Caenorhabditis elegans: one gene and its partner. The protein of the gene in region 1 interacts with the protein of each later gene in a pairwise test. Each region holds a gene or a part of one and is shown on either strand. Other genes may lie near its edges. The genes, in order: rpl-6 and let-756.

Region 1 (3,956 bases):
CTAGAAAACTTTGCTCCTCTTTTTTGTAATTTTCTAAATCTCAGTCAGAATATGAAAATGTAGCAAAACTTCAGAAATTAAGCTTGAAAAATAACATATCTGAAAAGAAACTATGTACATTCGTTCATTATTAACCTGGTAATGTAGGATGTGTTCCTAAAAACTCGTTGCGGGCACTTCGATTGTGCTTCTGGAAGCGAAATAGACGATCTCGAATGCCTCCAAACATCGAGATTTTAATAGGTAATACTTGGAGGTTATTCTCTGGAAAGGTTTGCTCTAATGTGAAAGAGAGTACCCTTCATTGAAAATATTTAAATCGATAAACACTGGAACGAGTTAGCCGATTTCTTTCTTCAAATTGAATTTTCTGAAAAACCGCGAATACAAAATTTGTATGATTACCGTAGTTGATAATCTCAACGATGCAAGTAGCCTGACAATCTTTCACCTGAACAACCAAGTAAACCTGCTAACACGCTCCAAGTTTATTCAGAATCTGACTGACGATGTCGGCAGAGGAACAAATTGATGACGAATAACGAACAAATGTCAACAATTTATTCAATAACAAAATACATTTAGAACTGCATCTTGTGTGGATACTGGTTCTTTCCGAGTGAGAATCTCGTTCCAAGGTATCCGAAGAGGAACTTGTGCTCTGGGTGCTTCTTGATGGCAGCGAGGATTGGGGCATCAACGGTCTTGATGTCCTTCTTTCTCTGCTCGGAGACCTGCAAAAAATAAATATGAAAATCGAAAAGATCACTTTAAAAATTTATCTACATATGGGTTATTCCAGAAATTGTGGGAAGCGCTTGACACTCTCCGTTCACAGAAAAAGTGATGAAGAGTAACAGTGCGCCTCTCTATTATCTCGCATCAAAATTATACGAAACAATCCATAAAGATAGCCCGTCCCTTTTCAATGCAAAAAGCGATGATAAATAACCTACGGTGTACTCGGTCTTTCCGGAAGCAAAGATGTTCTTTCCGGTCTTTTGTGCGGTGGACTTTCTCTTGAAGTACTCGTCGTTGATGTGCTCTGGGATCTTGACTCCGGAGACGTTGACCTTAAGTGAGGTAGCGATCACGAAAGCTTGTCCGATTCTGCGAAGTGGGAATCCGTTGATCTTGTGTGGTCCTAAACATTTAATTTATTTGAATTTACAGCTTTTAAAAATAAATGTGGGAAACGCTTGACACTCTCCAGATACAGGTAACGTAAGGAAGAGTAACACTGCGTCTCTCTACTATTTTGCACCAAAATTATACGAAACGATCCATCGGGAAAGTCCGTCCATTTTCGATGCTGTATCTTTGAAATACGCGTTCAACTAACCAGTGACAAGGAGAAGTCCGGATTGTGGGAGCTGCTTCAAGAAGACAACACGCTTTCCCTTATGACGTCCAGCGAGAACGATGAGGACAGTTCCTGGAGTGAGAGTCTTGCGGAGAGTGACAGTCTTGGAATGTCCGAGAGCGAATTTCGTTCCGTTTCTTTGAAGTTTTGGAAGCTTGGCGCTCTAAAACTAATTTGATTAGTATAAATTTTGAAAACAATTTATCTTGAAAGTTTTTTAATTTGTAGGAAATGTTTGGGAATGAGGTGAAGTCGGGGAGCGCAAAAGCAAGCCCTACTTGCATAATACGACCAATTTCATTTTCGAGAAATCCTAGCACCCTAACTGCATTTTGCTGAAAAGGTGACTCTGGACCTCGTTTAAGAGATTTTATTGAGAAAAAAACGTACAGTGTCCTTGGTGAACTTCGGCTTCTTCTCTCCTTTCTTCAGGCGAAGTCGGGAAGCAGAGAAGCGGAGCACTCCTGGGGAGAGGTCGAAGTTTCTGCTGATGACCGGAAGGTTTCTCTTTCCAACCATTTTGTACCCTGCAAAATAATTAATTTCAACTCTGACCAACTATTTAACAAAAACGACAGACATATTATGAATTGGATGATTAAAAATTATTTTTTGATTAAAAAAGAGATCAAGCAATATGAATCCTAAAATTTAAAAAACATGTAAAAAACGATTTCTGGCAAAAAGAACAGAGAATTAAATTGAATAATGAACCAGAATTTTAATGGGAATCATGTTTTTACATTTTTAAACTGGAAATAACGTTATTTTTTCTTAAAAACATGTAAAAATCGAAAAAAGAATTAAAAAGCACGAAAAAATCAGCGAATAGGGCTTGTTGCCTGAGTATTCAATGCCTCGTCGCGGCGAGACCCGCGTCTGACTACGGTGACACTCGTTTTACGTGTGTTATTTCTCCCTGTTCTTCAACACAAAATGCAACTTTTTCATGAAAAATGTTTATTTTTATATATTTCAGAAAGTTATTTAGGCAATAATAATAATTATAATTAAATCAAAAAATTGTTAATTATCTGTCATAAATTTTAAAAATTAGTTTTTCAAAACGAAAATTATTAATGTAAAATGTTTTTTGCACCTGATCAGGTACCTGAAAAATGATCAAATGAAAACAGATCGGAATTGTAATTCCTCACCAGATAATTTATTCAGTAAAAAATCTTTCCCCATCTTAAATTCGATCAGATCACCCAGCGGAAATATTTTCGAAGTTCTTGAAAAGGTTTCTAAAACGAGTTTCATCTAAGTCTCATGATCTATTCGCCAATACCACCGCTGTCTGTCCAAACAAAGCATCAAAAATATTTATTATATCAAAAACATGGTCAAACTCGTTCAATCATACACACAAACTCGAAACAACATAAAAAGAGGTGGTATTTAATTTAGAAGAAGAAAAATGAAACAGTGAAAATAAGGATTATAACAATTTGGTTTGATTAGGAATTGGCCCGTAGCTTCGTAAGAGTTCTGTAGGTTACAGGATAAAATATGGAATTGAAATAATGGATACAAATTGGTGATCACCGGACACATCTGCCACGCTGAAGAGTGAAACCTGGACAGCACGCGTTCTCGCATGGAGCCATCACCGTCTTCTCTCTGAAAAAATGAAATTTAAAATTCAAAGTTTTGGTTGATTGAAGAACTTACTGTCTACAACGGACGCCTCGTAACAAAGAAAGGAAACCTCCACATTGACCCTCTTCCTCCCGTTTCTGAGCGCACATACCCGTACAAGCTTGAGTATTGCAAATTTGTGTTTCTACTGGCTCCCCACTGAAAAATTTACAGTTATTTTATATTTTCATTAGCTATGGTTATATAAAGGTCCAATTGATTAGTTTGGGAAACGTACGAGCATGCATTTCCAGGTGGACATGTTCGGGTTCTCATGCGACTTCCGCATGCTCCACAAGTTGCGGAACATGCCGTCCAGGGGCTCCAGGAATTCCAGTTACCCGCCTCTGGTACTGCACGGGCTCTTGCTTCAAAGCCTTTACCACCACGGTAGAAGCTTCGGAAAAGTACAACCATATCAGTAGTTGCAGAACGGATTCTAGTTGGAGGAGTTCCATAGCAACAATATCTGGAAATTATCATAATGTTAGGTAATTACTATGCAATTACAAAATATACCTCATTCCAGTATTTGCAAAATCAGTAGAGTTTCTAACTTCTACGTAGTCCATGCACAAAGAATGTCTAATTTTGCAGTACATCTCAAATTCTCCAATAAACTGAAATTCTACAATATGACCTGGTGGAGCAACGAGAAGCCATGAGCATTCTTGTCCTTCTTTGAATTCTCTTGGATATCCAGGTGATGATATTCTAGTTGTAGATCTAGTTAAACTGATTTTTCCACCACAAGTGGCTCCGTATCCAGGCATCACTTGTTCGCAGTATTGCCCGGTGAATCCATCAGGACATCGACAACGATCACAACGACGTGGATCCGTGTATCCTCCACGTTGACATGGAAGTTTTGATGGGCAGACTGCGGAGCAGTAGATTTTATTCATTAGTCGGATGTCGTTAAAAGATAACTGATCACGTTGACCTGGAAGAT
Region 2 (5,629 bases), 800 kb from region 1:
CAAATCTTATTAATACTTCAAACGGTGCAAACTACAGTAATCTAAACAATTTCAGAGTTCACGTAATGGCTGGAATTCCGAAATCGGATGATGACTTGGAAAATGCTCATCAGACCTATTCTGAAAATGTGCGTTTTGCCGCCGAAAAGTTCAAGGAGCACAAGTTGATATGCCTCATTGAACCAATCAATAAGTACACTATTCCTGGATATCACTTAAATAATTATGAAGATGCAATGGATGTGATCCAAATGGATCAATCGAATAATTTGAAAATTCAATATGTAAGTCAATAGAACATAAAACATCGAATTTTATGCACAATTTTTTTTGAAAATAAGAATTCGAAAAGTAACTGTAATTTTTCAGGACACATTCCACGCTCAACAAATCAACGGACAAATTGGAGCAATTATGAGAAAGCTCAAAGATTATATTGGTTAGTTGAAAAGGATGATGATGAAAATAAGCTTACGCCCTATTTTTCTGAAATTACTTTTTCATTCGTCGATTTTTTTCGAGTTTTTCAGGCTATATTCAAGTGGCTCAAGTTCCAAATAGAGGTGCATGTGATACACGCGGAGAAATCGATTATCATTTTATTTTCGATGAAATCCGTTCGATCAATCCATCATGGGTTATTGGTGCTGAATATTTGGATGCAAAGCCTTCATTCAATTGGATTGAGAACATGTCTCTAAGTTTTTGAATTACCTGTCTTTGTAAATTCGCTCCATTGATAATTTTTTTAAAATAACAATACATATTTTTCAAATATATATTATTCATAATAGTAAGTTACAGTATGTTCAAAATACAAAACCCGTGAGTATGGAATGAGACACGTGGCGAGTTGGGGGTGTTTTAGAGAGACTTGGAAAACATACTTAAAAGGGGCGAGCTTGGGAAGAAAAACAGTAGTGTACGCAAATTGTCGTATTTAGAGCATGGTGTGATTTTAAGAGTCTAATACAGAAATATTATGAAGGTAGAAATAGAAAATTAGAAAATTCGTTGTGTGTTTCAATATTCACAAGAAAGGGTTTCATTTCTAAAGCACCGTGCCTTACGAACTTCACGACAATGTACTGCGCTTCTTCTCAAAATCAGCCCTGATAAAAAATTAATTAAGCAAAAGAAGGCAGGAAGAAATGGAAAGAAAATGAGAAGATCATGATGATAGATGCTGTGCGGGGTATCATAAGAAGAGAGATCGTTCACGGGTATCGTTGATAGTTAACATTCTGACGGTTTGGATTTGACACTGTCTGAGCTAGATAGTGTTGTTGTGATTGATGACGTTGTTGAGGGTCTGATGAAGAGCTGACACGTGGATGGTGATGATGATGGTGATGGGAATTGTGATGAGGAGCCTGTGTCACTGGAGACTGCCAATATGGATTGTATGCAGGTCGTGGAGATTGTACTGTTGATCTTGTTGGAAGAGGTCGATACGTTGGATAAGGATTCGCTGGATTTTGAGGACGATTGTACCGAGTTTGAGTAGATGCTTGTTGCTGCTGTTGTTGTTGATAACGACGTCGGAGTTCTTCTTCACGAAGACTTTTGAGCTCTTGGCGACGGGCTCTGAAATACGTTTGATAATTGGTATAGATCTAGGAAAGTCACACGTGGAATCATCATAAATGTTTCAAATAGTTTTGTGCTACCTGGCATTGAATTTATTTTTGCCGCTCAAAAACTGAAACGGAACGATACCCAAAAAAAGCCATTTCAGTCTGGCTTCAAATCTTAAAAACCAAAAAAATGTTCTGCTATTTTTCAATACTTTCATAATAATTCTCAGTTCTCTGCGCTTTCTTTTTCTCAGAATAATAACTAACTCTCTAATTTGTTCCTCTTTTCTTAATCGATCTTCTCTCCTTCGTTTCTTCTTTTCTCTTCGTCTTTTCTTTTCTTCTAATAATCTTTGCTTCTCAGCTTGGTTCGTCATTTCCACTTTTGCTCGTAAACTACAAAAATTTCATTAGCTCTAATCTGATACTTTTGATATAAATGCTTACTTTGAAATACGATGTGGATTTGGTGGTTTTGTAACGGTCTGCTGTCGGAATAATGGATGACTGGGAGGTTGGTGAAAGAGTGAAGCAACTACCAGATCGGTTACGTCCTGAAAATCAAAAAGTTGAAACTGTATGTCTCGAAAAAACTCACATTTCCATTTGGAACGGGACTTCGTAACCGGTCAAGATCGTGATGAACAACTAGAAAATGGCTCGCCTGAAATATACGGATAATGTATTTCAATCAAAAAAAAGTGCACACGGATTTCTTTATGTATCTAGCTACAGTAGCCGCGAGTACGGTAGGAACTTATTGAAACGAGAGAAAAGTTAATGTACATATCAGGAAATATTCGCTCGTTCCAGACCTCGAGCTTCTAATTTTTGGTAAAAACCACATTTTCTTGCGAACATATGCTCGAAAATATACTTTAATCGGGTTTTAAAAATTATTTTTCTAAAATGTAATAATATCTCCGATACGAGCTGTCAAAGCAGAATGAGTATATATTTCACTTACTTTCCGACGTTTTTTTGAATTAGGACCTCTCCTTGGTTTTCCACTCCGTCGTAATTCAATATACCAGGGATTAAACCTGTCACCATAAGCACAAGACGCATATAAATTGTAATAATTTTCCATCATTTCTTCGAGAAAAACGCATTCTGTTGAATAATTAGATGATGGTGTTGCATATAATTTCCCCGATGGATCCATACAAATGAAATTCTTTGTTTCAACTCCTCGAATCGATACAAGACTCATTGCCACTGACACAAACTCCACTATACTGAATTTGGAACTCTCCTCTTTTGTTCCATGAACTTTGACACGTGTCGATCCATCGTCAGGATTTTCGATAGGAAGCATCTCCAACCAGGTTCCCGAACGACAAAACAGGGCTCCGCGGCGACGGCTGGAAGTAGAAATTAGTCAAAAACGCAATGCCTTTGAAATCATTGGCAAGTTTTAATTTTTGATCATGATCACTTCGATTAAAAAAATGTTTTTTGTTGTTTTTGATAAATTGTCGTTGCCCTGTGAAAGAAAACAAATTTCAAGAATTGAGTAAAAAATCCGAGATCCCTTGTTACAAAAAGTTTGAAAAGCTTAAAAACTCACTCATCAGCAGGTGGATACCCATTTTCTTCTTCATCTTGTAGTTGTTTCTGGAAACCATTTTCAAGTTTACAACTGTATCTCTAATTTCAAACTCACTCTGATCCGGTCCACTCGATACGGAGCACATGAATTTATACGATCGGTTACAAAATTTGAATTATAGAATCCCTGAAAATTTATTTCTAAGTTTCAGTTCATATCTTAACTTTGAAAAAGTAATCAATTTGTGGGAGAAAAAAACATTATCCTAGATTTTCTAGTGTGCTATAATTTTTTCCAAAAAACATAGAGGTGTCAGATTCTTAAGTTACTGTATGAATATTTCAATTTTTGGTTTTTTCACATTTTGAGTACATATAGCTTGAACTTCCAAACGTTCTTAATTCAAAAAAAAATTAAAAAATTAAACATTTATGGTTAAAAGAAGTAAACTTACCGCAAGAAAAGGTGTAACTGGTGTTGTCAAAAAGTTAGAAGTGGCTGCTCCTCCGTATGAAACTATCGATGAGGCGGCAGGAACGGCCATATATTCATCTGAACATTTGAAGAAATTGTAATGATTTGGAAATATTGAAGAACGAGGAAGTAAGAGTCAATAAATGAGAAAAAGGGCAAGTACAGAGATTCGGGAGCAAACAATCTTCACCTCCGCCTCCACTCCTTTTCTGGCACGAGTTTGCACTCAGGCTCAGTTGGGAGAAGGCTCAGGCTTTCTTGCAAAATGGAAAATTGTGATGAAAAAAAAACAAATAGAACGGTAAGATTGGAATGAAGGAATGCAACAATGAAAGAGAGTCTATTGAGAAAACAGATAAATAGAAACAGATCACAATGACCAAGTTCAATAAGATGCAAAATAGAGTTTAGAGTTTGTTCGGGGGCATTAGAAGTATCTTTGAATAAAAACTTTAAAAAGAAAGAAGATTATTAATATTCTATCTTTATATTTGGAAAAAAGTAGTATACTACTAATTTAAAATCCGATAATCATACAACAAGTTCAAAAATTTATAACATTACAAATTTTTTATAAGAAAGTGATTAAGAATTTTGAGAAATATGAAAGTATTTTTTGTAATCTAGTTTTTGTGAAAAGCCACATATTTTGCTTGCAAATTTCCAAAATGTTTATTTTTCCCAAAAAAGTTGTTGCTCAACTTTAAATGTCTTATGGTTCACTCAACAGATTTTAGAGTAGGTAAGAGGCAGGTGTAGGCTCTGCATTTAGGAGTTTTTGTGTATCTGTGGAAAATTTCAACAACGGTTTTTTTTTCCGAGAAAACATATGTAGTTTTGGCAAAGTGATTTGAACCGATTGAATCATCACAAATTTTCACAAGTGACGACAAAGTTTTGAGATCATATTTACACAGTTGTTCATAACATTTGTTCAAAATAAAAACACAAAAAAAAACTTCAAAAAAGGAGGAAAAATAGATCAAAATAAATGAAAAGAGCATCAAAATGTGTAGGATCTCTAGGCTATAACAGAAAAATACCATTTTGGAAAAATGCCAATTTGTAGAGATTCCCAGAATAGTGTCATATTTGTAAATAAAAAACATCCCCCGCAAACAATACTCTTCCGAAAATGAATGAAATTTGAGCTAATAAAGTATGATGCATTTGGAAAAATAGTAGAAAGCGATACTATTCTGAGGAACTAAGAATGACGTTCGATAAAAAATGAGCAGAAATAACACATAATAATATGGTTCAAATTTATAGCAAACATGAAATTACGAATTCCATGGTAAGTTAAGAATTATTCACATTTTCACGTATGTGGAGATGGATATGTGAAAAGTAGATGATTAGTTTGACAAAAGTAAGTTTGGAAAAAAATAAGTGTTTTTTTGGAATACTGGAATGAAGTAAATTTATATTGTCTTACTGTTAGAAAAATGAAAACATGTTAAAAAATGCTTAATTGAAAAAAAGCATAAACCGAATACGGTATTTCATGAATAGGTATACGGAACAGTCGTGGCAAGACCCATTTATGAGAATCTAGAAATATATTTAAATGTCTGAGTGTGAAAACTTGAAAACTAAAATCCTATAGTACCCGAAAAATCATATGACAGAAGAAAGATCAAGAAAAATATGAGTAATAGTTGATGTAGGAAAAAGAAAGAAATCGAGGATGAAACGTGTGAGATAATAATTGATAATCAATGAGGATACAAAGACTCTTTCTCTCTCACTCTCGTAGTCCGAATCCCGCGCGTCTTAGTCCGTCTGAGAAGATGATAATGGTGAATGAAGAGACGACAGATTATCAACGAGACAGTTGGCTTCTTCTTCTTATTCAAAAGAGCTCCCGTCCTCTATGTTTTATCATCATCATCATTATCACAAAACGACTGATCTTCAAGTGAAACACGAAGAAACTGCTCTCAGGGATTGGGTTACCGAATGAGAGGGTGTTTCACTCAACAACACAATTGCTCTCTCTTGCAAAATTTTTTTGAGGGGATCA

The links.
Region 2: the proteins of rpl-6 (region 1) and let-756 interact in binary tests that used the Caenorhabditis elegans proteins (3 or more experiments, as listed by UniProt).

Annotation. Positions count from the first base shown.
Region 1 is NC_003281.10:7,206,381-7,210,336, reverse strand, and holds rpl-6 (Large ribosomal subunit protein eL6), read right to left. Parts: upstream 1,891-3,956; 5' UTR 1,883-1,890; coding exon 1,754-1,882; intron 1,725-1,753; exon of another isoform or gene 1,541-1,724; intron 1,527-1,540; coding exon 1,343-1,526; intron 1,319-1,342; exon of another isoform or gene 1,188-1,318; intron 1,145-1,187; coding exon 957-1,144; intron 938-956; exon of another isoform or gene 807-937; intron 735-806; coding exon 582-734; 3' UTR 548-581; downstream 1-547. Other genes in the region: prps-1 (ribose-phosphate diphosphokinase), read right to left, coding at 136-229; Zinc metalloproteinase dpy-31, read right to left, coding at 2,908-2,986, 3,038-3,163, 3,243-3,473, 3,524-3,947. UniProt on the Caenorhabditis elegans protein: Component of the large ribosomal subunit.
Region 2 is NC_003281.10:6,405,181-6,410,809, reverse strand, and holds let-756 (Protein let-756), read right to left. Parts: upstream 3,682-5,629; 5' UTR 3,674-3,681; coding exon 3,584-3,673; intron 3,316-3,583; coding exon 3,244-3,315; intron 3,195-3,243; coding exon 3,148-3,194; intron 2,942-3,147; coding exon 2,545-2,941; intron 2,242-2,544; coding exon 2,176-2,241; intron 2,132-2,175; coding exon 2,025-2,131; intron 1,974-2,024; coding exon 1,845-1,973; intron 1,588-1,844; coding exon 1,218-1,587; 3' UTR 777-1,217; downstream 1-776. Other genes in the region: C05D11.5 (Putative hydroxypyruvate isomerase), read left to right, coding at 56-284, 370-439, 531-709. UniProt on the Caenorhabditis elegans protein: Required for larval development. Probably by binding receptor egl-15, negatively regulates membrane protrusion from body wall muscles during larval development.